2 linked regions of the Tamandua tetradactyla genome follow. The protein of the gene in region 2 purifies or fractionates together with the protein of the main gene of each other region. This does not show direct contact. Links are inferred from orthologs where the notes say so. Each region holds a gene or a part of one and is shown on either strand. Other genes may lie near its edges.

Evidence for each region.
Region 1: the proteins of ACVR2B (region 2) and INHBA purify together in Homo sapiens (affinity purification with western blotting; 3 studies listed by BioGRID and IntAct, with this or other methods). This does not show direct contact. The link is inferred for Tamandua tetradactyla from reciprocal best matches to the Homo sapiens genes ACVR2B and INHBA.

The regions. Positions count from the first base shown.
Region 1 is NC_135327.1:80,349,916-80,366,432, reverse strand, and holds the start of INHBA (inhibin beta A chain), read right to left. Parts: upstream 8,705-16,517; 5' UTR 8,624-8,704; intron 6,106-8,623; exon of another isoform or gene 5,997-6,105; 5' UTR 5,871-5,996; coding exon 5,483-5,870; intron 1-5,482. UniProt on the Homo sapiens protein: Inhibins/activins are involved in regulating a number of diverse functions such as hypothalamic and pituitary hormone secretion, gonadal hormone secretion, germ cell development and maturation, erythroid differentiation, insulin secretion, nerve cell survival, embryonic axial development or bone growth, depending on their subunit composition.
Region 2 is NC_135341.1:48,880,016-48,896,216, forward strand, and holds the start of ACVR2B (activin receptor type-2B), read right to left. Parts: upstream 7,663-16,201; 5' UTR 7,650-7,662; coding exon 7,598-7,649; intron 1-7,597. UniProt on the Homo sapiens protein: Transmembrane serine/threonine kinase activin type-2 receptor forming an activin receptor complex with activin type-1 serine/threonine kinase receptors (ACVR1, ACVR1B or ACVR1c).

The sequences.
Region 1 (16,517 bases), on a different chromosome or scaffold from region 2:
TGTGCATTGGATTCCCTCACTATTAGTTATCTAACCAGATATAGCTGGTTGCTTTGCTAACCTTTCATTACCTACTCTCTGGTAATATTCTTTTCATCCTCTGTGCTATTTTTTCCCTCCGGAGGCTTGTGAGCAAGTCTTGTATCACAGCCTGCTCTGCCTGAGTAATTCACTAAGAAAGTCCCACGCAAACCCATGTGGGTGATAATATTTCACCACTCAAACCTCTATGAGTTTGGTGGACATATACCATATTGAGAGAAAAAAAGAGAGGGAGAAAAAATGGATAGGAGGGATAAATTTTGCACCTTATAGGAAATACTTTGGAAATACAATGAGTGGGAAGGATTGGACTTTGAAATCTGGAGGTAAAAATACCTGAAAATATGCTTGCAGCACATATTCTTTTGCTTCCAGAATTACTCAAATGCTTTTAATAACTCGATCCGGAGAGGATGCCAAGGGTTAAGCAACCAAGCCTGTTGTCGTGCCCTTCCCCCACGCTACGATGATGCAAAATGCTAGGCTTCTCAAAGTCCTGCATCTCAGGTTCCTGGGCGCATAAAGTTTTCCAATTAAATAAGCAATATACACATACAGTGTTTCCTTTTGTTGTTGTTTTCCTCACCAGGGTTCTGCTTAAAGTATGTTGTCTTTCTACATATGGGTAATAATTATGTCTCCAATGTTAATGTGGAAAGCCTTGTTGCTTATACAGAGTATTAAACTCACCATGGCCGGCAGGGGTGAGGCAGAAGCCTCCCTGAAACAAGTGTTATTTTAATTTTCCATTCTTTACCAAAGTTTCTCTGTGTCTGGTTATGTTATAGTCAATAGCAAGGGCATACAGAGTGTGTGTTTCCCTTGATGCACTAACTTTGCCTTTGAACTGTGTCTCCAGGGGTTTCTGCAGAAGGCAGCAAATAAGGTGTTAAAGGTTATTTCTCCTTGAATCTCCAGTAGGGGATCTTGCCTGTAATAGAACTACAGGTTTGGTCCCAAGTTATCTTGGTTCATTTTTTAGCCTTGATATCTTTCTGTGGGATCCACTACTGAGCTGTAAATGCCCGGCCACAAACATCCATCATCAATGCCCCTTCCATTTATATAGTGATGAAAAAGAATGTGAACTATTTAGGAAGAAAAGGGTTTTAGCTTCCTAAAGAAGTAGAAAAATTCCTAAGGTTCCACCCACAGAAATTCAGACTTCTTCCAAAGTTCCTGAGAACTTTTACACATTTGATTTTGGATCTAGGAACCAGTCAAGTATGAAGAATTCTGAACTTCAGTTAAGAAATCATACTCAAGTATATTTTAGCAGAAGAGGGGCCAAGACAAATATGTGTTTCAAGAGAAGTGCCTGGGAAGGTATTACTCCCAATTCTCCAAATGCCAAAATTGAACTTACACCCTAACACCTCCCCCACCCCTGACCCCAATACCTATTTCCCAAAGGCAAAACTACTGTTAATCTCTTTCTAAATCTTTTTATCCACCATTTCTGTACACACCCTCTGTTCGGAAACAAACGCATCCTCAGAAGCTGAACACCATGTTCCCAAAAGGCGTTAAATAAATAGGCTTTTTCCCTCCCCATTGGAAGTCACTTGTCATTTGTTGCTAGTGAAAAGCATTAATAAGGCAGGAGATCTGGGCAAGAAAATCAAGGAAGACCGATGACGTTTTTGCATAAAGCCCAGGCGACCGTATTAGGGGACAGACGTGAACAAATCAGTACTGCTGATGAGTCACAGTCACATTTCTCTAGGCTCTGCTCTGTTTGCTTTTAACATTTATCACCCCTCTGCGGTCCATTGGGCTCCGGAATGCTTACACATATCACCAGCATCCCCACTTCCTTTCCTTCTGCCTCATTTCACGTGTCATAGATGGTGATATGTTCCCATCCCATACAATTCTTATAGTCTTATAGGAGGATGAGAGGAAGCGAGGCAGAAGGTGACTGAAAAATCACTAAGATTAGGGCGCTAAGGACTGGGGCTTCCAGGAGGTAAGATTGGGTTTCACTGGAAGATTTAACTAGCGAAAGGCAAAAGCCTTTGGAATACGCCCTCTTGTGGCCAGTCATTCCCCGTTATTCAGAGAAGACAGTGTGCAACCCTTACAGGCTTTGGTCAGTGAGGGGGACCTCACAGGAGAAGTTGAGAAGACAGGCGTGGAACAGGAGGAGTTAACTTCACTTTGGGGTGGGTTTCGTTAGGGTGGGAGAAGATGGCCATCCAAACAAGCCTTCTTAGACCCCTCTCTGGGCAACCTAATTTTATAACTCAAGCTTTCTGTAAATAGTAATCTCCAAGAGGGGAGATTTATGTGTTGCTTTTGACAAAATCTAGATTCTGTGAGCATTTTCCATTTCTTGGTGTTTCAGTTTTCTTGCTTTCCCTTACCTTTCTTTAACATGTGCAGTCGATTGGCTAAGTTAATTATCAGAATCAGCCTGTAAATTTGGCAGTGTATGGAGGGAGACTCAACAGTTGATTGCTGGGCATTGACTGGCCAGTTACTATCATAGATAAAATAAGGTACAGCAGCCAAGAAAGCCATCAATTTTAGCTTTATTGTCGATGTATGAGTATAGTGACAGCTGACTCTTTTGCCTCTCTTCTGTAGCAAGGACATCTCTTTAAGGCCTTAAAGTAAACCCTGAGGCTCTTATCCTAAACAGACAAGACACTAACCTTGGTGAGCATTCTTTGGTGATAGAATAAAAAGACACCATTTTTATTTGTTGAAATAAACTTCAGGGTGCCTTAGAGTTAATTCCCTTCTTCTAACTCAATAACAACTCACATTAGCTGTACAAACATAGGCACATTCTACCTGAGCCCAATGAGACAAACTCAGGTAAAAAGAGTTCTAGGCATTAGTTCTTAGGCACCTCAACTCCTGTGACCATATCTTGGCTTTATCAAGCAATCAAAGAGAAAAGAGACAAGCACGAGATATGTATCCCCAAACTGAAGGCACTCGTAGCCGAAAAGCACTTCTCTGGGTATGCGTCTGTAGCATGCACACAGGTGATACTTTTATCAACTGGCTTTCATGCTGTACAAAGAATAGTTTTAAAATAAAGAAAATGTCCTTTCCTCCAAAAATCTTGACATTTTGGATGGCTGGAATATTAAGGTTCAGTTATTCCAAAGCAACAAAGACATGGATCACTGCTTTTCATTTTTATATATTGTCTGCAATCCTTCAGATGATAAATCTTTCCCTGCATAGCAAAATTGGCATCAAAATGCTCACATTGTACTCAGAGAATGGACTGTCTACTAAAGAACAGTCATTAAATCTGTGAAATAATAGGAATTCAACTTAAATCTGATGTGTAAAACCTCTGAGATGAGGAAAAATAAACCAATGTAGTCAACCTCTTCTCAGCATCCAGCAGCTCACCCAAAGTCAAGTTATAAACTCAACTGGGAGGAGTTTTCCATTACAAACCTTAAACTTTAGGCAACTTGTAAATTAAATGAATCACCTTTTCAAAAAGCAGTGCAGTTTCTTTCAAACTAAACACCTAGCAGAATTTTTTTAATTTTTATTTTTAAAAAGAATCTCCTATAACTGAGAAGTTCAGCACTGAGAGGTACCACTGAAGGAAGGCAAATGGTCAAATTCTTTCACTGCAAAAGTTCCTGAATGCCAAGAGAATGATGTGCTTTAAAAGTCCAATAAGTCAGAAAGAAGGCCATATTGCTAGCTCAGGTGTATAACTAAAAGACCGGATCCCTCGGTTGATGGCCAGGCACTGGTGGAGGACACAGATAAACTTTGTCATGTGACATTAAAGCCAATTGATTAGGCATTTCATTTGGCGCCATCATGTGTGACCAGTCGGTATATGAAAGCTCATATCCTCATGTCAGTACGTGGAGCAGCCCTTTACACGGCTGGAATCCATCCCACTCATAGGACCCAAGGTTTTCCTTTCCTACTTTACAACTGTGAAGGTTTGAGAAAAACTGGCTGGCGACTTGAAAACTCCAGCCTGACTTTTTTCCTCAATTGCCTTCAAATGATAGTCATAATCAGCACGTCCTTTGGAGTTGCACCAGGAAAGATTTATGGAAAGAAAGCTAAGACCTGCCCTAAAGAGAGAAAAAGAGGCTTCTGGTGAGAGAGCTTAAGGGCCTGAGGACTTGTGGCACCGAGGTTTCTCCTACAGGGGCAAGCCACGAGGCCAGCAGGTTCTCTGCTCCCCAAAGGATGCCCAGTCCTGCATGGTTTTCTGGAAAACAGAACATCTGAGTCAACAGGTTTTCAGGACTGGAAATTCTGAGTGTTGCCTTAATTGTTTATACTGCTGCGGCAAACTTTTAAACAAAAATGCTAGGAGTCCCTGCACATACTTAACTGGCCATATGTTCTACCACACAAAACAATGGCATTCCTTTCGAATGGCTTTGGCAAGACGTACAATTCTTTAGCGTGGCATCACAGGGAAAGTGACATGGCACTGACACATGTGTGCGCCCCGCCGTGCATGGGCTTGGGGCATGCAAAGTGATCTTTGTCATGGAACTAGAAAAACAGCCTGGCTCCAGGTCTCTGGCCCAGACTTTCTGACAGGTATTTTCTATTCAGCAACAGGTTAGCATGGTCCTGGGACAACGATGAGAATCTATTAAAGTTTTTCCTCTTAAGGATTGAGTGAGAGTTCAGCGTAGTATCTGAGAGCACTTTGTCAAGGTTGCATTCCTTGGCAGAGAGCTCTTGGTAACTTTACAGAGAACAAAACCCTCTCTCTCTCTCTCTCTCTTTTTTTTCAATCTAAAAAAAAAAGAACGAGAGAGAGCAAAAGTCAGTATTCCAAAAGTGACTGCTGGTTCAATGTGAATTGTCCTCCAAAGTAGCCCTTTACTGCTTAAACCGTGGAGCCTCTGCACTTAGGGACACAGTTTTCTAAAGGTAAAAGTGCCTGTCACTAGTAACTCTGCCCTGCTTCTCGGATCTGTGGCCCCTCGTTGGACTTTTAAAGGGGAAGGTTTGTTTTAAGATAATGACTTCATCTGTGCCATTCTACCCCGATCACCGCACTCCCACACCCCGCCCCCGAATCAAAACTTTGGATGGGGTTTCGGAAGCCTCCTCTGCTCCCCTAGCACCCGAAAATGCCCCCGCTTTCCTGCGGCTGCCTGGGTTTCTTTCCTAGGCAGGGGGGAGGAGAGCCCCTCGCTGCCTGGCTTCCAGCTCGAGATTGGCGGACAGCTTCCTCCCTGGGTGTCCGGCTGAGTTAGCAAGTGTAAGCAAGTCATCCCCAGCCAGGGAGTTCGACCTGGAAGAATTCCGTTTCTGTGAAGCCCTCTCCCCCTCCCAGCCTCCCCTCCATCTGCTACCATCACCTAAGAACGAACAACCTTTCCAAGCGGTTTATAGCTGGAGGGAAAAGAAGTTCCTCCTCGGACTGTCAGAGAAATATATTTTACTCCCCCCACCCCCCACCAGTGCCAGCACCAACCTGACTCCGCAAATGTGATGATCTCTGATGTCTGCTCCATGAGTTCATTCATTTCTGCCCTCCTGCCGATGTCATCCTCAATCTCCACATACCCGTTTTCTCCCACTTTGCCCACATGAAGCTTTTTGATCGCGTTGAGAAGCGCCGCCTTGGGCACGGGCTGGGTGACATCGGGTCTCTTCTTCAAGTGCAGCATGTTTAAAATGTGCTTCTTGACCGCCTCCACCATCTCCGGCTGAGGGTTGGGTGCATCCTTTGGGAGGGTGGCCAGGGCACAGGACGGGCAGTCGGGGGCTGCACCGTGCCCCTCGGATCCTGGGGTGGGGGAACTCCTCACTATAATCCAGCAACTCGCCAACAGAAATCCTCTCAGCCAGAGCAAGGGCATCCTGGCAGCAAAAGTTGTTGTGATTGCCTTTTTAAAAGGCCCTGCTTTTCCTCCCCCCTCACGCACAGGTTTTTTTTTTTTTTCTTTCGGTTTTTTTTTTTTTTTTCCTTTTCTTCAGCAAATTCTCTGGAACAAGAACAAAAAGTTTTCTGTGAAGTTTTGTTTGCAGGTTCCCTCTCTGAATGCAGTGAGTGCTGTAGGTTTGTGGCTGTCAGGGAGGAGAGTCCTGACTGTCTCCGAGTTAGAGAGGAGGGAGGGAGGGGGGAGGGAGGGAGGGAGAGGGAGGGAGGGAAGGGGGAGGGAGAGCAGGGTGGGGGGGCTGACAGAGACAGAGAGAGGAAGGGAGGAGAGAGAGACAGGGAGAGACAGAAAGAGAGACAGGGAGAGGGGGGAGAGAGAGAGAGAGAGAGGAGAGAGGGAGGGGGGAAAAGGAGAGAGAGGGAGAGAGAGAGAGAGAGAGAGAGAGAGAGAGAGAGAGAGAGAGAGAGAGAGAGAGAGAGAGAGAGAGAGAGAGAGGGAGAGAGAGAGAGAACGGATTGGCCCTAAGTGAGTGAGTGAATGGGAGAGGGAGGGAGTTTGTCAGTGAGTAAAGGCTGTGACTAGGGAGGGGAGGGACAGCCCATTTTCTGACAGGCTGCTTTCCTTCTGCTCCTTTGCTCCCTCATACACACCTCTCTTCAAGTAGCGCCATGCTCAGGGTTCTACTTTCCCTTCTGAATTAAATTACCTTAAATTTGCGCGACTTTGTTTTAATTTTTTTCCAATCCTCTTGATTCACTTTCTTCCTCTTTTTTCTTTTTTCTTTTTTTTTGGTGGGTTTTTTGTTGTTGTTATTGTTGGGTTTTTGGGGGGCAGGGGCGAGAAGCAGGGGCACTTCCAAACAAATGCACTGTTCTCAGTTAACAGGGATGACTTGACTGAGAAAATAAGCCCCCACCTCTCCTCTGCCCTAGCCAGCCACCATGGCCCTAAGTAGTGAAAAGCCCACCAGGTCCTTAAAGTGACGGCCCAGGCTGCCGGAGGTCCTAGAGGACCCGTTGTGAAGGTCAGGGAACAGAGGAGACAGAAGCCAAAGAGACTTTTGGCCAGTTCTGGCCTGAATGCAGGGGACCTGAGATGTTCCTTTCCCCATTCATTCATATTCAGGTATTTGGGGTTATCAACACTGGCAGGCGATCAGAAGGGAATGCGATAGAACTTTTGTGTGGGGTCATATAATACACTCTACTTTTCCCAACCGCAGAATGTGGCAGGGTATTGAAAGAGTCAAACGGCAAGCAGCACTGTGCACGCCAGTGTCAGGGAAGTTGCTCTCCAGTCCCCTTTCAGCCTCCCCTTTCTGCCCCGCACACACTCACACGTAAAAGTGCAGCCGACCACTGCTTGCTCGACTTCACAGATAAGGTGCGACATTCATTTGGCCTTTCCCACATCGTTTCATACAAAAGAGTGCACTCCTATACTTGAGTAACTAGTCCTCTGGGAAAAGAATCTCTAAAATATATTACCAAATTATTTTCTCTGTCATGTGGTAGTTTTCTCAGCCTGCCCCCTACCCTCAGTCCCCACCAGGACATTCATTGGCAGGCTCCTCTCCTGCTTCTTTTTCCCCCCCTCAAAGGAGCAGCGCAGATGAAATCAACATGGATTTTAGTGTTCATAGAAAAAGAAACATGTAACTTCTTAAACAATGCCTTTCTGAGGTTTTTTTCCCTCCATGCCCCTCACCACCACCACCCCCCTGTTTTTTTTCATTTTCTGTCTTATTGCTTTTATCATGCAGAAATACTTTAAGAGGTCCATCTGTTAAAGCTTTCCTTCCCTCTTGGTTTCTTTCCCACACATAAGCCCTCTCTGTTTCTGTAGATACAGTCAGCTTATATCTGACACCTAGTGTATTCAGAGCATTATAGTCGAGCAAAGCAGTTTTGGGGGGGAAAAAATTAATAAATATCATGACTACCAACATTACATCTGAGTGCAAAGGGAGGAGGAGAAGGAAATTGTCAAAATTACAGTCAGATAGAACAATGCTTCTCTGGATTGTATACCCTGCCCCATTTCCAAAACAACTATTTGCAAGACTTTCCCTGGTTTAAGGCATCTATCACCTTTGGGGCTTCTGCTTCAAGGAAAGTGATCTACTCCATTGCTATTCTTAAGGCTTTATCAATATTGCCTTAAAATCCTCTCCTTTTTTTTTTTTTTCGGTGGGGTATGGTGAAAAAGAATAGGGTGGCATTTGCATTATAACTGCTTAATAAAACATCTTTGTAATATAATACTCAGCATCATCTACCTATTTGGAGCCACATATAGAGAACCCAAAGCATTTTGTAGTCCAATTAAGTTTTACAAGAGAGTCTGAAATAGAACTCAAAGTTTAATGACTTGAAAGGACTCAAGAGTCTTAATAGTAGCGTTTAGATAAGTGCAAGTTATCAGTGTTTGGATTCCCTCTGAATGTGAGTCTGTGTGTGTTCCTTGAATTTACTGTTTGCGAATGGAACTCTTAAAAATAGCTTTCTGTTTGGCATATGTGCTGGTATATATGTGCTGAGTGGGTTGTATAAACACATAATCTATTTGCATGCTCTAGGACTATTAAAAGCTGAATTAACCTGCCTGAAGAATATAAAAAGGTACAAATCGCAACTCCCATGGAAGTGCCAATAAGTTGTAAATTTCTTTTTAAAATTCCCTCTGATTATGAATGTGCAAATCGCTCCTAAGGAAGAGTTAAAAAGCATTACCTTTCCGGTCCCCTCTCTTTCGCCAGCAGATTCTTGTATCATGTGGCCAGAGCTCTCTGAGTTCCTCTTTATAGTATTGGCACTGTGAAGTTTTATACTGTACTACTTATTTGTACACTCACATATCGGTACCACTCAAAAGAGGAGGGCTGGGGCTTTGTTGGGGATTGGTTAGAATCAGGATGACATCAGTGGATGACTGGTTTTTCCAGTGTGAGACATATTTCATAATTTATTATCTAATGGAAAGCCCAGTGAATCCTCTGGCTGTGACTCGACTACCTTTAAGAAAAAAAAAGGGATTTGGACAGATAGCTCATTGAGTGTCCATTTTTCAACTTCTCTTTTTACTACTCACACATACACACACGTCTCATCATACTAGGGTTCTGTTTTAGGTCTTTACATAAAGCATCTGTTACTTCATGAAGCTGCCTCTATTTTAAAAGTATTTTATTGTTTCTTACAGGGAAGAAAATTCTTAGTGCTCTTTACAATGATTCTGATTTTTTTTTAAGTAAGAGATTTCATTCAGAATGAATTAGGAAAAATATGCACACCCATAGGATGATGCCCTCCCCTCCCCTGACTTACACTATCATTTTACATCTTGAAATTGAATGCCTGCTTCATAAATCATTTAGAAATAGTCATTCTTTTGCAAGTGAACTTTGTAAGTGTCTTTGTCAGGGTTTTAGAATCACAGGCTACTAAACAGCAAAGAAAAAAAAAACTCATGGATCATTCAGCTTTACCAGAACTTCAAGTCCATGATTTCTAAATTGTTATACTTATAGCATGAGATTAATGAAAAGAAATGAATATTCCTTGAAGGATAAAGTTGGCCAGTTTTTGCTTTGCTTTTTGGGGAGAGGTGGGGGATGTTGCCAAGCCTGGGGAGTGACGCGGGAGGAAGGAATCTTCAGACAAGAATGGTGGAGAAGAATTGTTTGAAGGAGTCTAGCTGAAGCATAAGCTGGGTTCTCATGACAAGTTGGATAAAATGTGCAAAATTGGGAGCTAATGAAAGCCATATGACCAGATATGTTGTTTTGTATGCAGGATTTAACATGCATAAAATAAACTTTTCACTGTGCCCACAAGCAAAATATAGAGGCTCTGGCCTCCTGATGTGTAACTTAAGCAGGTTCTGTTAGGACACCAGAAGTTTTCTGTGTAAGAGAGGTCTCTTGGCTAAACCCACAGAAAATGTGTATGCTGAGTTGTATACGGGGGGTGGGGGGTGGAGGTGGCACAGATAGGGAGGAGAACTCCAAGAACTGGATATGGAGAAATGAAGTAGAAAATGAAATTATTAGGTTATAAGGGACAAGAGAGAATCTGAGAGGAAAAGGTAGAAATAGGATGAGTGGTGGTGAATTCCAAAACTGCCCATCATTTTAGAACTGGAGGAACTGAAACAGTTTATAGGAAAGCAACTCCTCCACCCTTTTGGATGGAGAGAAATGACCTGGGGGTCCAGGGAATAGGGTGCATTTAATTCACCCATTCCCCACCCATGACCCCTGGCATTGTGAAATCATCATGGTGTTCCCTCATGATTTGGGGGCACATAACAAACCTGGATCATACCCAATTCCACTGCTCAGGAATTCTATAACTCTGGGCCTCAGTATTCTCATCTATAAAGTGGGAAAAATAATACTAAACTTCAGGGTCAAAGACAGTGCTCAGAAAAGAAGAGTTTCTGAGAGGCTTGGTGGGCCTTTTTCAAACATTTGTGCCACTGGAATCTACAGTGCCTGCACTGTAGTGACTCTGTGTGACTCTGGGACCACACTGGCTACGGGATGCCAAAGAAGTGCCCACCTGCTCAGCCAGCCCAGGCCACCAGCTCTGATCTAATTCCCTACCTGACTCTCCAACCTCAGAGGCTGAACCAAAGTGGAAATGACTTCTACCTCAGGAAAAATTAAGGTAGGGGTGGTAGAGGAAGCCAGCAGATTAAATTACCTTCTGTGCACCATTCTGGATTGGGGATTTTTTTTTTTTTCCCTTCCCAACTCAAGGGCCCTTAGGGCATAGGCTGGTGAGCCCCGCTCTAGACAGAGATCTCCTTCTCGTTCCTCACTTTGGTTTCTCTTTCACTTCCTGCCCCCTCCCCCAGCAACGTCCCCGCACCCCAGGCCCTTCTGGTCCCAGGCTTCTGGGCCCTGCTACTGTACCTTGAGCAGCACCTGCTGGTAGCTTCCAGGGATCACGCCGGAACGCGGCCGCTGCGCAGCGCGGCTCTCGGGAAGCCTGGAGCCAGGGCCAAGCCAAGCTAAGCGGCCGCCTCTATTTTTACCCGGAGCACCAGCAAGGGCAACTTCTTTTAAGAGCAGCTCTTGATTTTTCCCCCCATTTGGCAGCTAAAGAATTCAGGGAGAGAAAGAGAGAGCGAGCGAGAGAGAGAGAGAGAGAAAAAAAAAAATCCCTGTTCAGTGAGTGCAGCTGGGAATCTCTGAACCCAGCCCTCGATGCCAGGGACTGAAACCACAGCAAATGTCAGGGACCCGGACCTCCAGTTTGGCCGGCGGGCGGGATCCACCGCGGGCAGAGGCGAGCCAGGGAGCGTTCACACACCAGCACACTGTCTCTTTGCTAATTGTGGATTTCGATCCTACCAGCTACTGTACTAGCAAAGTGGCCCGCTGCCACCGCGTCATTCTCCTAGTGGAGGCTGCTTGATTTACTGGCGATTTCACAAAGCTCGGAACTACACGCTGGAGCATTTGCATGTCTCTATTCTCTTTTGAGGAGCAGCCTTTAGAGAACCCGGTGGAGCAGCTTGCTGCGCGAATGAGCCGGGAGTGAAACTGGGGTACCTTATTTTACTGTAATTGCAAAAGGAACGACTGCCAGAGATTTATATTTAGAAGTTGTATGTTTCTACTTTTATGTAAATGGAGCAATTAGGGCCTGTCTTGCTGCTAACTCCAATGCTTGTGCATTGCTGGGGAGTTGGTGTTTTCAATCACAATTAGTGAGATGGTCAAAAAACAAAGTTCGTTTAAGGATAAGAGCTCCCTGGTGCGAATGGAAGAAAGACCAGTGTTCCTGTGCCTCCCTGTGGCTGATGGAGCCACTTAATACCTTAGGGGACCAGCTGACCCTATAGTGATGTCAACCCACGACAGGAACTGTCCTTGTGGACATTTGTCATAGGTCAAGAAGCACGGATGTTCATTTTCCTTCTTTAGCTTTAATCCATGCTACTAATTGGTCTCTCTTTCGCCCGTACTCCTGGAACAAGGAGACAGGCCTAAGAAGGGGGCCGTTTTCCATGGGTCTGTTATTTTAACTGCTGCTCACGCATCCCTGTTATTCAATCAAAAAAATAAAAGCCAGGAGACGTGAACACCGCAAGTAGGTGACTGAGAAGATGTCATCTGATTCAGCTGAAATGGCACAGGCTGGGGCTTTAGAGGCACGGACGAGGCTGCTGACGAGTCAGGGTGTTTAGTTCCTATGAAAAATCTGTTTCCAAAAAAGCATGATTTCTGGTTCATCCGGTCTGGGAAAGTGAACATAAAACGTGACTGCAGAGAGAAATCAAAAGGACGCGAGGTGTTCTCAGCAGCTGACGTGTTATTCTAGGCTCAAAGCAGGAAAACCTTCCATCGTGGGTGAGCTGGTGGCTCCCTAGAGAGGCAGCTCCAAATCAAGAAAATGTGGCCATGGCCCAGAGTGATATTTGCAGCAAGGAGTCTGCGATTAAGGGTCCCACCAAATGATTTAGATCTAGTATGGGATTGGCAAACCCTGCTTGTTTCCTGGACAGCCACAGCCTGCAAACTGCTTGGGCTACATGTTAGGTAGAAAGGATGTTGGAACAAGACAGACCAGCATTTCACATTCAAAATTGAACTGTTATTTAAGTTAAATCAGTGAAGGAATAGTTCTAAACTGATAGGCAGAAGGGAGCACTAAAATTCCTCCAAAGTTCACTGGGAAACAATGGGGTCAAAATACTCATTGCAAAACTCTATTCCTAAATTTCACATAACTCTCAGAACCCCTGGAATCCTGCAAGGTCTTGTGCTCTATACGAGTTCTGTTTCCAGTCTTTGGAAATGCCATTGTCCAAACCAGGAAGCCAGATCCTAGTGTTAAAATGATCTGGGGGGGAAATAATTCCAGAAAGTAAACTTCCGTTCTTCAGTCTAAAGCAGTGGTTCTCAACTGGTGGGGGGGGGGGGGGGGGGGCTGAAGACAGTGACATTTGGCAATCTGGGGACATTTTTGATTATCACATCTTGCAAGGGGCAGAAGGTACACTACTGTGTCCAATGGGCAGAGGCCAGGGATGCTGCTAAACATCCTATGACATGCAAGGCAGCCCCTCCCCATGACCTCCCCAAAGAATTATGCGACCCAAAATGTCAACTGAGACATTTTGATTGAGAGTTATAATTTTAAAGTTATAGCTAATTCCCTTTCCCTCTATGCTTCAAGAGGACTTGACAATCAAGAAAAAAATGTTACAACTATGCAAAATATTAATAATTCAAGCAATTCTGTGTCCTTGTATGTCTCATGCTTCCTAATTAATGGAGACCCATGGCACCCTGCAGCTACCAGGCCCAGTAAGAATCCCTCTCTGGTGACATTACCATTTTCCAGCAACAATATGACGTTCCCAGTGTGGCTTTGGTACATTTCCTGCTTGATTTTATTCTAACCCAAAGCAAGATCTTGGTGACCAAAAACAAAATGAGGTGAGCTGGCTCAGACCCAAGCTGTTAGGTGGCAGCAAATTTGTAAAAAAGAGCAAATGAATAGAAATTGAGTTGTTCATTTCAGACCTTAAGGCTCAGACAAGTCCATACAATAGAGAATTTTCTGAAGTAAGATTCACAAATTGTGATTACCATGCCTGTCTCCCAGAGCAAGAAAATATGATGTGGCTTCATATTATTTGTTTGATACCTTAGGGGAATGGCATACAATAGATATCCAAAGAGATAAAACAGAGTGCTTTGCTAAATCCTAATGCGTGTTCCAAGCAAGATTATGTTCTTCAAACTTAATTTTTAAAAGATTGAGTTATTGTGGTTTTAACGGAAGATCATGCCCTTTCAAGTTTTGCTCTCTTGTGAGGACTGGGGAAGCTATTGTGATGGGTCCCCTCATTAGGGAAGATCATATAATCATCATCATCAACGAATGTTGGTGGAACCTGCAAAAGGGAATTAGCCCAGGTCAAACTAGCTTAGATGTGAGATACTGTTCTCTGGGCCATGACGTTGACTCTTGTGTAGTTCATGTAATGCCTTGAGGATAGGGTAGGTGGTGGGTCATTTAAAGCTGAAGAGCCGTAAAGGGAGTGTCTTAGACACTTAGACGCCGTCTCATTTACTCCGCGATGTGAATCACAATCTCCTCAGGTAAATGGTCATTTTGGAACCAAGGCCTCAATCAACTTCTTAGTGACTCAGAAATGCCTGGATTCCTGCCCGAGAAGTAACCGTTTCTGACTTTAACCATCTCAAATATTTAAGGAAATAATCATTTACAGACTCAATAGCAAAAACGTACATTAGAAAGGAAACAAACACTAATACTAACTGAAACTGAATGAATACACCCTCAAAGTTCATCCTCACCAACATGTATTTCTGCATTGCTTATCATATCTCAATTCTAACCCAATCCGGAAACATCTGCTACAGAGGTCAATCTTTCTATGGCCCCAGAAGATTATTAAAAAATGCTCACACAAGAACATACAACACACTGTCATAATCGTTTTTCTCACCTGGATCCCCTGGGGTAATAAGTTCCATGCTGTTGACTGGAGGACATAGAGGTTTAGCTTATAGATTCCACTGGACTGATAAGAGAGCAGAAATCTTGGTTCTAATCCAGTTTTTCCTATCCACAATGCTACTTCCACAACTCGTTCCCAAATTGCAACTTCAGAAGGGGAAAGACACAGAAAAGCAGGGGGCAGTCCTGGATAAATTATTATTATTATTTTTAAAATCAGTGAGTTGCTGCCTCCCTCATCACTTGATAGAAAGAGTGCAAAGGTCCTGCCTCCCGGACAGAGAACCTCTGAGGCTCATCCAGTCCCACACACTGGGCTCTGTGTCCAATCACGTACGCTGGCAGCAGGCTCGTGGCAGCGGCTCAGCTTAGTTGGTCAATATTTCCAGGTGCCCGCTCTAATTTTAGGAAGGTCAAGTTTGCAAAGGTGAAATAACAAGCAGGATTTCTGTTAGTCTTTATCAGCTTGGAAAAGCAAACTAACATTAAACACAAGATCCCTTTGGAGTTTAACTGGAATCACTGATTTCTACGATCAGCCACAGATTTTGAAAGAATAACTTATTGCCACAGTCCATTTTCTTAAGATTCATTGAGTTTCTCTTACAAGATGGGAGATATTGCTGAAGGCAGGAAGTGCCATTGTATTAGCAGAGAGAAAAAAAAAAAAAAGGAAAGCCTCGGAAAACCTCTCTCCCAAAGGCCATGGGTTAATGAATGAGGGCAGAAAGCCAATAACGCAACTTAGGGCCAACGACATCATTTAACTATGAAATGAGAATACTTAAAATAGTGCCCCCTGCAGAAAAGAGCTCACCCAATAAGTTTCCCTAAATTTCAAGGAGCTTTTGTTTTATGAGATCCTGCTAGCTTCACGTTAGTCACGGGGGGGGGGGGGGGGGGGGGGGGAAATGCCCACATACACACGCACGACTAAATGTAGTCAGTTTGCTCAGCTGCTGCTGACGTTGCTGCTGCCCACCAGGAGTTAGTTACTGTAATAATCCCCCCTTTATTAATCATAGGCTGGAGGAAGCAGAAAGTGGGTGACATCATTAGGCAAAGGACTGGCTAACTCATGCTCCAATTTACTCAGCTTTATTATAACATTTCTCAAGTGTCATATGAAAGTGATTACCATTTCACACTTTCCCCCTCTGAGCAATCCTCCCTAACCTTCCATTCAAACACTGATAGGGGAACTTAACTTTTCACATGGAGGCACGGCAGGGCCAAATCTCAGTGAGGATCTTTGTCCTAGGAAAGTATATCCTCCTTGGAAGATCTGCTCCCCGGACTTGAAATGCAGGCAGTCCTAAGAACTATGCATCTAGAATGACTCTCGGTTAACCCTGACCAGGGGGCACCTGATGGGAGGGGCAGCCCTTCGGGATGAGGAGCTACACCTGGCTCCCAGGGACCACCGGTACAGGCTCTGCACCCAATTGGGGAGGTGGAGATGAATCCTGGAGTTAGACGCCTGGGTTTGAATCCAGGAGTCACCAATTTTGAGCTGGTAGATGCTGGGAAAATTACTTCACCTACTAAGTATCTCATTTCCCTCGACTGGTTGATGCTGATAATAATAGCCCTTCCCTTGTAGGGTTGTTGTGGGGAATAAATGAGTTAATACACGTTAAAGCTTTTAGAATGTACCTGGTACAAAGCCAGGTTTACTTACCTAGTATTATTTCTCTTCCTCTCCTTACAAAAGCTTTGTCAGTTCAACTGAACTTACTGTGCCCTGCTCTGTATGACCCTAGGGTGATGGACAAACCTTCTATGAGAAGAAATCAGGATGGACGGTCACAGGGAGGCCTAAATACATGCTTTGGCTTCCAAGTGACAAATCATTCTGCCTTGCTCTGGGGCCCAGGTTTCCCATCTTTTATTATTTATCAGATAAGGAGCTTCTGAAAACTAAAAAAGACAAGTGACTAAAACCAAAAGAAGACATTGATTCAAAGATTCTCAAGAACCCAGCATCATGCTACTGTTATTTCTTTAAAACACTTGAATAGACAAAATTGTCAGGCTGTTCAGTTGTTACACACACACACACACACATGTACATAATACGTATATGTATATATAAAATATTGCAGAAAGGAGTGTCTCCAAA
Region 2 (16,201 bases):
TACAATGTGGCAACCATTCCCGGAGGAAAGGGTAGAGACTTTCACCCATACCTTTGGAAAGAGGCTGCCCAGCTGCCCTGGTGTCCACGGTCTCGGAGTGCCAGGCCCACAGTGCCTGCGGCTCCTTGGAGAGCCACCCAGCAGGCCCGCTCGGGGGGAAGGGCATGCCCACGTCCTGCTATAACCCCTAGCACTCCTCTTGGCAGACACAGACAGACTCAGCTCAGGCAGCGCCCAGGTGAGCAAAGAGGGGGTGCCAGGCAGAGAGTCCCCAGCAACAGGAACCTGCTGACTGACATTCTGCATGTATGGGACAAAGAGGCACCAGGGCAAACCTCAGAGTGGCCGTCAGAGGCAGGTGGGCGGGTGCAGGCAGGCAGGCTGCCCAGCCACCCACAACCACTGCCTCCCTGAAACCCGAACCACTTCTGGGAAAACTCAAGGACGCCAGGATTCTCCTCAGTAGTGAGCAGTACTCCCAAACCACTCATTTCAAACCAAACTCTTACACTGAGCAGCTTTAACAAAACCAGAATCTCCTAGGCTTCAGGGTGAATCCAACCACCCACCATGAACGTGATGGGGCTGAGGGGGTGCAGTGGATGGGCACACAGCCTCCCACAATCGTCTGACTATTTAAAGCATGAGAACACTCTAAACCAGTTGTTCTCAACCTGAGATGATTTTGTCCCCCTTCCCTAAGATGTTATGGCAATATCTGGAGACATCTTCAATTGCCATGACTGGAGAGGTGCTACCACAATTAGAAGGCAGAGGTCAAGGATACTGCTAAATATCCTACATACAATGCACAGGAAAGCTCGCCCACCCTCACACAACAAAGAATCACCTGGTCCAAAATATCAGAAGTGCCAAGGTTGAGAAACTGTTTTAGAATGAGGTCCGCCTAGCCAAGACTCTAGCTCATGGTCGTCTACCCAATGTCACCCTCAAAAGTATCCAGACCTCTACCTGGTCCCCCAGATCCCAGTCTGTGGTGACAGGCTAATATCTGCGAGTGGATCTAAATTCCTGAACTGATGTGCACTGGGTCCAACTTGTACTTTCCAGAGGTCCCAAACAGGGAACTGCATGCATGGGCATCCAGATGTGGAGGACCTCAGGGCACCACCACCTGGAGGAGAACGAGGAGACTAGGACTAGAATCTGAATATTGCATGGGATCTCAAAAGGCAGAAGTAAAGGACAGGGTACTTCCAGTGGCCATAACAGGGTAGAGGCAGCAAGGAAGGAACAAGCTCAGAGCACCTCCTCAGGACAGCAAGTTGCCCCTCAAGACCAGTGCAGTGTATATGTGCACGTGGCTGGACTTGAAAAGAGGCAGGGGCAACCGGTTCCCTATATTAGCGCAAAACAGTGAGTGTACACACACATGTGGGGAAAGGAAATACAGCTAATATCAAATTCTCAGAGGGGCCCATGACACAAAGAAGAACCAGGGACTCTTTGCTCAGTTCCCTCAAAAAGTTTCTTTCTATCTTTAAAATTTTTTATTTTCAAATAATTTCAAACTTACAGGACAGCTGCAAAAATAATATAAAACCCATACAGAGAACTCCAACATATCCTCACCCCACAGATATCCAGATTCACCAATTTAAACATTCTACCACATTTACCGTTTCATTCTATCAATCTATTTTCTAAACATTTGTGAGCAGGTTGCACACATAATACTCCTTGAACACAAAATATTTCCATGTACATTTTCCTATGAACAATGATAATCATTTATGTAATCACCTTAAGTGCAGTTATCAAGTTTAAGAAATTTAACATTGATTTTAGTTTACGTTCTATCATTCTATGTCCTGTTAACGTCCTTTTGAATCTTTTCTCCTCCATTCTTAGATCCCATCTAGTATCATGTATTACATATGTCATTGTCTCATTAGTTTCTACTTTTATTTAACTGTGAAAACATATATATACAACATAAATCTTCCTACTCCAAATCCTCCTAAGCATACTATTCACTGGGATTTGATTAATCACATTCACAGGGTTGTAGTACCCTTGCCATAATCCATTTCTATTACTTTCTCTTCACCGCAAACAAAAACCCTACACTCATCTTCATTAACTCCTTATTGCCCCTGCCTCTTATCCTGGCAATCTACACTATACTTTGATTCTCTATGAGTCTGCATACTCTCCAATATTTTCCTTGTGGTTACCATGGGGCTTAAATGCAATAACCTAAATCTGCAACAATCTCGTCTGCTTTGATAGCAACTTTAACTTCAATAGCACACATAAACTATGTTTCTATACCCGTCCGTCCCCCACTTTTATGTAGTTCGTATGTATACATTATGAATCCCAAACTACTGATTTGTCATTACATTTTACACATCGGCCTTCTAGATCCTATAGGAAGTGAAAAGTAGAAACCAAAAATAAAATAAAATAGTACTGGCATTTACATTTACTCATCTCATTACCCTCACTGGAGATCTCTGTTCATGCAGTTTCACTCCACAGGCACATCTCAATAGATACTGTGGGTCTGGCTCCAGACCACCACAACGAAGCAAATACCACAATAAAGCAAATCACACAAATCTTCTGTTTCCCAATTTCAACTATACTGTAGCCTTTTAAGTGTGTGCAATGGTATTATGTTTTAAAAAACAATACCTTAATCAAAATGTCACAGAGAGAAACAAAGTAAGCACGTTATTGGAAAAATGGCACCAACAGACTTGTTTAATAGAGTTGCCGAAACCTTCAGTTTGTAAAAAATGTGGTATCTGATAAGCTCAATAAAGCAAAGCACAATAAAACAGCATGCCTGGATTGTCTATTGTCTTCTCCTTTCAACCTAAGAACTCTCTTTATTATCTCCCATAGGGCTGGTCCAGTATTAACAAACTCCCTTAGCTTTTGTTTACCTGAGAATGTCTTAATCTCTCCCTCATTTCCGAAAGACAGTTTTGCAAGATACAGAATTCTTGGCTGGCAATTTTATGCTCTCAGTACTTTAAATATGTCTCACCACTGCCTTCTTGTCTCTGTGGTTTCTGATGAGAAATCAGCATTCAATCTTACTGAGGCTCCTACGTATATCACATGTTGCTTCTCTCTTACAGTTTTTACAATTATCTTTATCTTTGGCATCTGACAGTTTGATAACATGACACAATGTGGGTCTATGTGGCTTTATCCCATTTGGAGTTTGTTGAGCAGCTTGGATGTGTAATAATACAAACCCAGAATGATATTCATGTCTTTCATTAAACTGGGATGCTTCTAAGCCTTATTTCTTTGCATATTCTCTCTGCCCCTTTTTCTCTTTCTTCTTCTTCTGGGATTCCCACAGTTCGCATATGGGCACATTTGACAGTGACCCACAGACCACCACAATGAAGGCTCTGTTCACTTCATTCTTTCTTCCTTCTGCTCCTCAGAATGAACTACTTCAATTGTCTTTTCTTTAAGTTCACTGATTCTTTCTTCTGCCAGCTCCAATCTGCTACTGAACCCCTATAGGGTATTTTAAATTTCTATTACAGTGGTCATCAGCTCTGTTGATTTCCATCTTTCTACTGATATTCTCTTTATGTTCATCTATTTTTCCTGGTTTCCTTTAGTTCTATGTCTGTATTTCCCTTTAGCAATGTAAGCATATTTATGACCATTTTTTTCAGTCTCTATCTGGAATGAGCCAGGTCTGATCCTCCTCACTGATGGTTTCAAATGCTTTAATCTCTTCTTTTGCCTTGGCCACCACTTCCTCTATCTTTGGATATTTTGTAATCTTTTGTTGAAACCTGAACATTTTGATATTTTAATGTGTCATCACTGGAATTTAGACCCTGAGGAGGCTGTTCCTTAAGGTTATACCCAGCTAGTGTTATAACAGAGCTTTCCTTGAATGGTAAGAGCTAACCAAAAAAAAGGAGGAAAAAAAGAAAACACCTTTCCCAGTCTTTGTAGACTGACCTGTGCAAGTAGGTGCTCTCTCCCAGAACTTATCAATAGAATGAGTTTGGAGAACAGCTCCAGGTCACAGCCTAGGGGCCTCCCAGATCCTTTTTGTGCATGCATGCATGACCCTAGGAATTCCAGGTGTACAAGAATGTTCCCTCTTCCCCAGGAAAAAGTTTCCTCATAGTCACCCACTATGTACTTTATGTCCTACCTCCAACTATCCGTTACCCAGACAGCACAATTTGACTGCTCTCACAGCTGTGTGAGCCTCCTTCTACATGCAGGGCAAGTTCTGGGATGGCAGGTCCCTCAGGCCAGTACCAGATTGGGCCAAACATATGTACTCCCAGTTTGTGAACAAGGGTTACTCTGCTCCCTCCAGAACTGAGACCAAGGATCCGTACTTGGAGAACTGTCCACCTCTGCACCAAGCTGGAAGGGTGGGACAGGGGTCAGCCAGGGTGCAAAAAGAACCTACCACTTTTAAGTGGCCTTTTGCTTTGATCTGGTGCTCATTTTATCACCACAGTCCTTTACCTCTTTTCTGGAGCATTGAGAAAAATGTTTCTGCCAGTTGTTGCAGGTTGTTCAAACTTCTTCCATGGGACAGAGACCTGAAGCTTCTCACTTTGCCATCTTGATCAGGGCAGGGAAAAAGAAGTCTCTTCAGAGAAGTGCCAGGAGAGATCCAGGTGCTATTTGGGGATTCTCTATGCCTAGAAAGACCCTGCAGGCCCACCCTGAGAGGCCACAGCACTCTGGCCCTCTGAGGGATGGGGAGGGTACCCACACCCGTAACAGGCAGCATGGCCAGCCAGACAAGACAGCGTCTGTAGTGTCCAGCAGGTCCACAGACAAGTATCAGAGGATATCCCTTTTCTGGGGAGGGGCACCAACAGCCTATGGCTGTGTGGTCCATGTCCTCAGCAGCAACCACTACACTGGGCCTAAGGGTCACTTCACTCACACACACCTTCTTCCCTTAAGCAAATGGACAAGAAAACATGGATCAGAGTGGGCAGCCTATAAGGTAGTTCAGGGCAGTCAGGGCCTGCACTTCCTGATGGGACAGCCTAGAGGGGCTCCTTAGCCACTGGCTCCCAGGAACACTGCTCCCCCCTCACCAGGGCTATGATCTGAACCCCAAGTACATAGACAGACTTCAGGAGCTCTTGTGTTTGGGAGACACATCACAATGCAAGAGCCAAATACGTTGTTTCCCAAGGACATAGGGCCAGGCACAAACCATGTACATCTTGCAGAAATGAACATTGTTCGGATGACAAGTACCATCTGCCATTGCATAAATTTTGCCTTTTCTTCTAGGTCTGCACTGCCCAGTATGGCAGCCACTAGTTAAATATGACTAGTGAGCACTTGAACTACAAAATCTGAATTAAGACGTTTTGTTAACTGTAAAATACATACTGGATTTCAAATATAGTACAAAAAAAAGACAATGAAAAATGTTTCAATAATTTTTTTATTGATTATATGTTCAAATGATTATTTTGTATATACCTGGTTAAATAAAATATGTTAACTTTCACCAGTTTCTTTACCCTTTTATTAATGTGACTATTAGAAAATTTTATATATGGTTTATATTCTATTTCTATTGGACAGATTTTCCTCAAGGCATTAAGTGCCAAAGGGGATGGGTAAAATTCCAAATAAGAGGCCAGGAGCTTGAAGGAAGGTCATCCCCGAAACCAAAGGAACAGGAGGGCCACCTCTGCCCCCACCTGGGCCTGAAACAACTCTTTCTACAGATCTCCACGGGTCAAGGGAGTGGCCATTTGGCTGGTGTTAAAACACCCAGCAATCCCCACCATCCTCCCAAGGCAGGAACACAGGTCCCTGGACTTAAGTCTGCAAGTGGCAAGGCTCCCACAAGTAGGGAGAGCAGCAGGATACCCTAGCCTAGCAGGGAACACTGTCCAATAGGGGATATGGGGGACAATTGAGAGAAACAGTCCTTCCAGGGGCCCAATACCATCTAGCCCTGCCCAATAAAGGGAGGGTGGGATATGAGATTGATGAAGCCAGGGTGAGGCAATTTGGGGGGCGGTCCCCAGATTCCAGCCCATTCTGTCCCAGAAGGGGTTACCAGGAAAGGTGATTCCTAGGGACAGGCAGGCAGGCTGCTGCATGCCTATAAAGTCCGACTACTCCCGACATCCCCACCTCTGGTCAAGGTCTTCCTTTTCAGAAGCCTCAATCTTGGGAAAAGCATCTTAAACTGCACTTAAAAGGTAGGAGGACTGAAAGAGAAACAAGAAATTCAACTGACTACCATTTTGCCTCCACCACACAGGAGTGAGCTAACAGATAAAAGAGTACCTGTCTTTGGTCCCTACATTTGGGCTTCGCAGGTCACAGCCCCACACAAAGAAACTCACTTGCAGTCAGCGTGCACAGCTGAGCCTCTCTACAAAGCAAAGGCGGCTGGTAAGAGTAGAGGTGGGGATAGGATGGCGATTCCCGATCTCCATCCACCCCTGCAGCAGCTCCAGGCCCGACCCCGCCCCTCGCGGGTTTCCCAGACTCTGGGCTGCTGCCACCGCGGGCGGCGGGGGACCCGCGCTGCATGTGTAATGGGGGCTGGGAACAAAGACGCGCGGGACCTCGCGCCCCGGCTGCCGCCCACCAGCCACCCAACGCTCAGCTTTCTGCGCCTCCTAAGGCTGCCCCGAGTATCCGAAATGAATCCCGAAGTCAGTCTTTTCGCGCCGGGTGTAGGAGCGCCCCGTGACCTCTGGGTGAGGAAAATTAACGCTTGGGAAAAGACGAAAAAGCGCCTTCCCAGTGGAACTCACCTATATACACACCCACATCCACACAGCCTACATCTCGAGAATTGAACGCTAGCCCCACGGCCACCGGCGAGTTGGATGCGGGTCTCCCACCCCCGCCTTGTGCCTCCCAGAGGCCCGAACTAACGAAGACCTGTTGGTTTTCCTTCTCGCCTCACCTCCTCCTCCCAGGCGCCCAAAACAAAGCTGTCCCGCGGGGCGGCTGCACCCTGCGTCCCCGAGTCCGCTGCAAAGAGAGCGGGAGCAGGTGTGATCCAGAGCGAACAGCCCACCGTGCGGGGTACGCGACGCAGAACCGGGTGGGGTACGGGAAACTCCGCGGGGCTGTGCGAAGCCGCCCCCTGCGCTTCGCCACCCCTAGTAGTTGTGAGGGGGTGCGCAGCCCTCCCCCCGGACGCTCCTGCACCTACAATCCCGCCGCCGCCACCCCCGATTAGCTCTGCCCGCCCAGTTTGGCTGCCTTCCCCACTCCCCCGTTTTCCCTCACTCTTCCTGATTCCACGTGCCCGCGTAGCCTGAACCCAGACCCTGGGGCTACAAGCCCCGGCCCCCATAGCGGACCGTGACTCTAGCCGGTGCGCGACACTCCTCCCAACCCTTAAAGCCGCCGGGATCTGGAGCCCCGAAGACAAGATCTTTCCTCCAATAACACCGAACGCGGGTCCCGGTGGCCCCCGCCGCCGCCCCAACACCGGGAGATGCGAGCTGGGTGCAGGTGGCGCAGCTAGGCGGCCGCGGGCCCGCCCTTTGTTGGTAAACACCTCGCGGCGCCCAGAGCAGGACCCGCGCGTCCTCTGCGCGCCCCCCACGGCGCTCCCCGTCCTTACCCGCGCACAGCGATCCCCAGAGGAGGGCGAGGGCCGCCCAGGGCGCCGTCATGTTCCGCGGCGCCGCCCCGCGGACGCCCGGAGCCCGCGGGCAGGGCCGCGCGGCGCTCCCGGGGCGCGCAGGGCCGGGCGGCGGCTGTGCTCTCCTTCCCGCGCCTCCCTTGGGTCTCGTTGCCCGCGCGCTTCCTGCGCCTTCCTACCCGGGAAGCGTGCGGGCTCTAAGGGGAGGGCGACCGGGCCGAGTTCAGGGCCGCTGCGGATGGCGGAGGCTGCGGCCCGGGCTCCAGGGCGACGCGGGGACCGGGGGGCGGCAGCGGAGCGCGGGCCAGGGCGCGCCCGGCTCAGGCATAGCGCAGCGGGGTTGGGCCCGGGCCCCGGGCGCAGGGGCCGAGTCCGGAGGGGCCATGAGCGGGGGGAGGGGTGGGGGGAGGGGAGCTGAACCGAGTCCAAAATGGCTCCTGAGCCGCGGTCGCGGAGCCGAGCCAGCGGGGAAACCCGGATGTTGGATACAAAGAGGCGGGCGGGCTGGGCGAGGAGGGGGAGGGGAGGCGGGTCCTCCGGCCGCGTGGTCCGCTCTCCCCCTCGGGGGCGGGGCCCCATAGAAACAACAACATGGAGGCCCCGCCCCCTGCCCACGCCCTCCTGGGGGATGTTAGTGGGCTCGGGTGGTGGAAAGTCGGGAGTGCGGCGGGTGGTGGCGGGATTTGGCTTCGGACAACACTTTGCCCCGGACCGCAAGACCCCTCAGCCACTGCACCGTGGATTTCGCTCTGCGCGCTCTAGCCCATGCTGCGGATCGCAAGCCGCCCCGCGACGCCGGAGTGGGTGGACTGCATCCCGACTGTACTCTTCTCGGCGCTTCTGTCGCCCCACCTGTGAAATGGGGGTCACGATGAACCAGGAGAGGGTCGTGTCTTTATTGACGGGTGAATTAATGGGCAGAAAAAGCTTCTCCAAAAAGACAAGTGGTCCCCAGCGTCCACAACTTAAATTCACACACACGCTAGGATTCAGGTGGGGAGCCTGGGAAATAGTGATTTGAACCCAAGTAAGGAAGATGAGGAGAGCGCTGCACAGAGAAGTAGCAGATGGAATAATTTGGGCCTCTGGCGACCTGCTACTCCGACCTTACTCTAAATGGTCTGCAGCATATGCCCCCTCCTTCAAGCTGCACATCCAGAACTGCTCTCAACTACCCCCCAAGCTTCCGCAGTTGAAGATTTTTTCTAGAAAATGGCTCTGCTGCCCACATTACCTACACCCATCCCTTACCCCTGCTTCATATTCCTCCTTGAGAGCCTGTAGTGCTCCAATTCAGGTTCCAGCCACCTTATCACACAACTGGAGCGTCGTGATGGAACTCCCGGCTAAGGAGGGAAAGTCCCTCACAGCTCTGGGATGAGGCTGTGGGATCTATAGATAGTTCTTGCCCTCCCACTCCCGTGGGCATGATACATTCCTTGCTTGGAGCAGGGCAGGGGCAGTGCAAGAGCAGCCGGGAGGGAGGTGATGCCCAAAAATCTAAGGCATTCAGCTTCTCTGAAATTCCATATGGAAAATGAAGAGGTTATACTCATTTAGTGCTATGCATGTTTTTAATAGCAGAAACTTTATTCAAACAAAATCTTATATAAAAATTTACCGTATAGAACATATATTGTACTCATTGAAGTCGAAATGATGGTCCTCCATTCCCAGGCACCAAGTCACAAGGAACACCTCAGGGACCACACTTTAGAGTAATTACCCAGAAAGATTTCTGGGTCTCTAAGCATCCTTTCCAATTTTGGAAATTCTATGTTGAAAACGATGGCTCTTCTTTGCCGCAATCCAGATAGTTAACCCATTATTTAGGCCTTCTGATGCAAGTCTGAAGGCTACTGTGTGCCAGGCAAGAAGTTGTGTTGCAAGGAATACCCTGACAGTGTATAAGGTATTTGCTAAGTCTGCGGGATCCATGCTAGGAGACACAATGACAGGGAAGGCAATTCTATATCCAGAATGCTTACTTTCCATGGAGGATAAGTCACTGCCTCCATAAGGGAAGTTATCCTCTATAACCCATGTGCCAACACCTAGATTGGCTGGTTCCTCTCTTCTCCACATCAGGTTTGGAATCATAATTAACGCTCAGGGTGATGCACGTTGTCTGCATACCTGCTTCTACCCCACCCTCTCTGGGAGCTCCACATTTTGTATATCTAACTGCCTTCTTGACATCTCTATTTGTCTAACAGACATCTCGAACTTAGTATGCAAAAGCAGTGTACCAGAAGAGACCTTAACTGGTCATCTCCCATTCCCAGGTCGTCCTGGCTACAATACATTCTCTATACAGTAACTGGAGTGATCTTTTAAAAATGTCAATCGTATAACATTACTCCCTTGCTTAAGAGCCTCCTGTGGCATCCTATTACCCTCGCTAACAAAACTCTACATAATTAGCCCCTTTGTTACTCAGTGTTCTTCAGAAAAACAAAACTGAAGGATAAAAATATGTGTGTTTAGGTAGATATTATGAGATTTATTATAGGAATTGGCTCATGTGATGTGGGGATTAGCAAGTCCCAATTCCATAGGGCAAGCTACAAATTGGAAACTCAATGAAAGTGATGTTGACTTCCACAGAAGAAGCCAAAAGTTGGGAACTCCAATGAAGATGACAGCAAATTTCCTAGTAGAAGCTGACCAGCTAAAGTAGAGATAGAAATTCTTTTTTTCTGACTGCTGAAATCCTCAGTTCTCCCTTTAAGGCCCCTGACTGATTGGATGAAGAGATTCGTCTTATTACTGAATGCAGTTGCCTTTATTGAGAGCAGCCATAGATGCGATCAACTCAGTAAAGATTTGTTATCTACCTACAAAATACCCTCACGGTAACAATTAGGCCAGTACTTGCTCAACCAAACAAGTGGATGCCATAATCTAGTGAAGTTGAACACATGAAATCAACCATCACAGCCCCTCTTACCACATCTATCTCACCATTATGAGCCAGATATCCTGGTTTGCTTTCTGTTCCCTAGACACATCAAGGTTATTCCTGCCTTATGGTATCCACATCCACCATTCCCTCTGCTAGAATCCTCTTCCCCTGATTCTCTTGGACAGTAGAAATCCATATTGTTGAGCTTGTAGTATTACCCCTTCTCTCTGCCACCATGGCCATTTTGTTCATGAGCGCACTGAGCAAATATTAGGCTGGTTGAGAAAAATGCTGATGGATATCTGAAAAGCAAGTTTGGTTTGTATTTTCTATTATTTTGAATAAAAAGAATACTAAATACCACATTTGATATCAGAGTGACTAGAAGCTGAAAGACCCCAAACTACAAATGCCCACTATAGGATTTATGGCAGAATTCTGCCAAAAAGGCACTCTGTGTTAGAATCACTCTTCCACTAGTCTCTCTCCTCAGTAATCAAGGTCAGAAACTAAGGAATTGCAAACAGACAATTGAGCATGACATTCCAGTATCAAGCTGCTGGAAGAAGACTGAAAATTATAGCATTATAATAAGAGTGCTTATTCTCAAAACCACAATGAGATATCATCTCACACCCACCAGAATGGCCATTATCAACAAAACAGAAAATGACAAGTGCTGGAGAGGATGCGGAGAAAGAGGCACACTTATTCACTGTTGGTGGGAATGTCAAAGGGTGCAACCACTGTGGAAGGCAGTTTGGCGGTTCCTCAAAAAGCTGAATATAGAATTGCCATACGACCCAGCAATACCATTGCTAGGTATCTACTCAAAGGACTTAAGGGCAAAGACACAAACGGACATTTGCACACCAATGTTTATAGCAGCGTTATTTACAATTGCAAAGAGATGGAAACAGCCAAAATCTCCATCAACAGAAGAGTGGCTAAACAAACTGTGGTATATACATACGATGGAATATTATGCAGCTTTAAGACAAGATAAACTTGTGAACCATGTAATAACATGGATGGACCTAGAGAATATTATGCTGAGTGAATCCAGCCAAAAACTAAAGGACAAATACTGTATGGTCCCACTGTTGTGAACGGACATTCGAGAATAAACTTGAAATATGTCATTGGTAACAGAGTTCAGCAGGAGTTAGAAACAGGGTAAGACAATGGGTAATTGAAGCTGAAGGGATACAGATTGTGCAACAGGACTAGATACAAAAACTCAAAAATGGACAGCACAATAATACCTAATTGTAAAGTAATCATGTTAAAATACTGAATGAAGCTGCATCTGAGCTATAGGGTTTTTTTTTTGTTTTTGTTTGCTTGTTGGTTTGTTTGTTGTTGTTGTTTTTTACTATTACTACTACTTTTATTTCTTTTCTTTATATTAACATTTTATAGCTTTTTCTGTTGTGTTGCTAGTTCCTCTAAACTGATGCAAATGTACTAAGAAACAATGATCATGCATCTATGTGATGATGTTAAGAATTACTGAGTGCATATGTAGAATGGTATGATTTCTAAATGTTGTGTTAATTTCTTTTTTTTCATTCCGTTAATAAAAAAAAAAAAAAAAAAAAAAAAAAAAAAAAAAAGAGTGCTTATTCTATATAGCGCATTCTATTTGGAGAGTTAAATGCATTAATTTGGTAAGGTAAACTCTCCAAGTATATCACAATTTTTATAATTTTGTTTGGGGATTTCCTCAATTCAAAATACAGAAGTGGCCCCGGCCTCTCATGGTTTCTGAGATGTTCTGGTTAGAGATATGCTGTAGTGAGTAATGTAGTAAAGCAGTGCCACATTAAACAATTTGAGAGGGTGCCATTTACACTATATAGTAAGGGCTTCACAGTTTCTTTAGCAGTATAATTCCCTAAAAACTTAGTAAGTTATCAATCTATTTGTTTCCAATCCATTGTACATACCATTAGCAACACCAAAAGTTATTTCCTAGACATAGTTCTCAAACTGCTTTATTTCTATGCCTTATTTCTATGCCCCTCTCTTAACTTTATGGTGGCTACCTTGAAGTCAACTAAACTAATTGGCATAGGTGGAAAGGAAACATACTCTAAAAATCAAAGCCGATTAGATTATGCTGTGCTAATTCAAAAAAAACAAAACCCTAAACCTCAATGGCCTAAAACCAAAAAAAAAAAATCTCTCATTCATGCCTGGTGTCCACTGTGGGTCACCAAGCAAACCCTATTCATTGTAATAACTCAGTGATGCATGGGCTGGTGGAGGCTACATTTTGATACATGCTTCTGTTGTACAGACAGGAGAAAGACAGCATGGTAAATTGCATGCTGGTTCTTAAAACTTCTGCCAGATTCTGGGAAGATGGTGGCTATCTTGAGGCTGAACAGCTTTTAAATCTCTCAGAATCCCCACATCAAAACACAGACCTAATACATGGCAAAAACAGAAAGTCCATGGGCATTTACAATAAAACTAGTTGACAAAGTTTCCCAAAAAAAAATCAAAGCAAATACGGTGAACAACAAACTTCCAACAACAATAAATCTGCACGAACCAGCATCTGTGTAGGAGGAAGCAGAGGGATGCAACATGATGTATAATAGACCTGAGAACAATAGAATCCTCAGGTAGGTAACAAATATTCATTGGAACACTTGATTCAAGAACTTGAAAACAGCAAGTGAAACTGGGAGGGGTTTTCCCCAATTCAATGCAAGGAAACTCTAATAAGAATAGAAGGAGCTGGGACAGACCGCACTATGAACTCTTAAAACTGATGAGACTTCCCTTTCAGATATGGACCCTACACTGAGGAGAAACTGCTGTAATTGGAATAAAAACAGCATCATAATGATTTGTATTTCCAGCCTATTATGCAGTAACTGGGATAGCACTTCCCTCCTGCCATAAGAACAAGAAAACTGGACAAAGTACAGGCGGCAACTATTTTTTTTTCTTTTATTTATTTATATTTTTATTGACAAAAAATAACAACATACAAATACATTCTTAATATATGACAAATATTCATATATAATCATTGACTCACAATATAATCACATAGTTGTATATTCATCACCATTATCATTTCTTAGAACATTTGCATCACTCCAGAAAAAGAAATAGAAAGAAAAAACTCAATCATACCTTACCCCTCCCTCTCGTGACCTCTAGTATTTCCATCTACCCAATATATTTTAACCTTTGGCCCCCTATTTTTTTCTATACCACTTACCAACCGCTTCCATTGATGACTAGTATTTCAATCTACTCAATTTACATTTGTTCCCCCTATTATTTATTTATTTTTAACCCGTGTATTTTACTCATCTGTCTATACCATAGATGAGAGGAGCAACACACACAAGGTTTCCATAATCACACAGTCACAATGCAAAAGCTATATTATTATACAATCATCTTCAAGAAACATGGGTACTGGAACACAGCTCTACAGTTTCAGGCACTTCCCTCTAGCCTCTCTAATACACCTTAAACTAAAAAGGGGATATCTACGTAATGCGTAAGGATAACCTCTCAACTCTGTTTGAAATGTCTCAGCCATTGACAGTTTATTTTGTCTCATTTCTCTCTTCCTCCTTTCGGTCGAGAAGGTTTTCCCAATACCTTGATGCTGAGTCCTAGCTCATTCTAAGGTTTCTGTCTCACATTGCCAGGGAAGTTTACACCCTTGGGAGTCATGTCCCACATAGAATAGGGGAGGGCAGTGAGTTTTCCTGCCATGTTGGCTGAGAGAGAGAGAGAGAGATAGGCCACATCTGAGCAACAAAAGAGGTTCTCTGGGGGTGACTCTTAGGCCTAATTTTAAGTGGGCTTAGCCTATCCTTTGTGGGGATAAGTTTCATATGAACAAACGCCAAGATTGAGGGCTCGGCCTAGTGATTTGGTTGTCCCTACTACTTGCGAGAATATCAGGAATTCTCCAAATGGGGAAGTTGAATTTTTCCCCTTTCTCACCATTCCCCCAAGGAAGCAACTATTTTTTGGACATTGGACAATCAATCCCTGATAAAAAAGAAACAAAATAATTGAGCTCTATGATAACCCCTGCAGCCCATCTGCAGAAAAATTCCAGTCTACAAAGCAGGGAGGGGAATCTCCAGCAGAACCTGGCACCCTATCAGTGTTGAGGAGAGAAAGATACTGGAAGTCAGAAAGGCCACATCAATTGGAATTTAGGAGGCAGAGTGCCAGAGAGGAGGAAGTTGCATAGAGGACCCTGGATTCTAGAGAGACATCTCCTTGAATCTGATGCAAAATTCTAAGCTTCACATACATAGAATGAAACTCCATGAGGTTAGACAAAGAAAGAAAGATGAGCTATAAGATAAATAGTTTCCAGAACCCACATAGGACTGGAAAACTTCTTACTTTTAACTAGCCAGAGTGGAGAGTCTTCACTGAACACCCTCAGCACTCAGTAGAGGCCCAGAAAAGTTACTCCACATAGTGGAACTAAACAAGCCCTAGAGTGCTAGACTACTGTAAAACAGGGTACTGCAAACCCACCATTGTAAGCTGAAAAAAAAAAAGCATTGAAATGATCATGTTGATCTATGGTAATTTAATATCCTACAAGGTCAAAATCCAACATTTTATAATAAAGGAATTCTAGAAATCTGGCACTCAAATACAAAAATCTTCAAATGCCCAGCATCTAATAAGAAATTACTAGACATGAGAAAAATGTGATCCAGAAGCGAGAGAAAACCCAGCCAATAAAAACAGATGCAAAACTGACAAGCATGATGGAATTATCAGTCAAGAACCTCTGTCTTTTATTTTTTTTATTAATTTTTAAATTTTTTTAAAAATACAACAAAAAACACTAAGATTCTTAGCTTATGATCATTCCATTCTATATATATAATCAGTAATTCACAATATCATCACATAGTTGCATATTCATCATCATGATCATTTCTTAGAACATTTGCATCAATTCAGAAAAAGAAATAAAAAGACAACAACAAAAAAATTCATATATACCTTACCCCTTATCCCTCCTTTTCACTGATCACTAACATTTCAGCCTAGATTTATTTTAACATTTGTTTCCCTTATTATTTATTTTTATTGCATATGTTTTACTCATCTGTTGATGAGGTAGATAAAAGGAGCTCAGACACAAGGTTTGCACAGTCACATTGTGAAAGTTGTAGCATTATACAATCATCTTCAAGAAACACAGCTACGGGCGGGCCGCGGTGGCTCAGCGGGCAAAGTGCTTGCCTGCTATGCCGGAGGACCTCGGTTCGATTCCCGGCCCCAGCCCATGTAACAAAAACGGAGAAACAGAATATAATAAAACAAGAAAATGTTTCCCTTTCTTCCTTCCTTCCTTCCTTCTATCCTTCCTTCCTTCTCTCTGTCTTTCCTTTAAAAAAAAAAAAAAAAAAAAAAAAAAAAAAAGAAACACAGCTACTGGAACACAGCTCTATATTTTCAAGCAGTTCCCCCTCCAACCTCTCCATTACATCTTGACTAACAAGGTGATATCTATATAATGTGTAAGAATAACCTCCAGGTTAACCTCTCGACTCTGTTTGGAATCTCTCAGCCATTGACACTTTATTTTGTCTCATTTTGCTCTTCCCCCTTTTGGTCTAGAAGGTTTTCTCAATCCCTTGATGCTGAGTCTCAGCTCATTC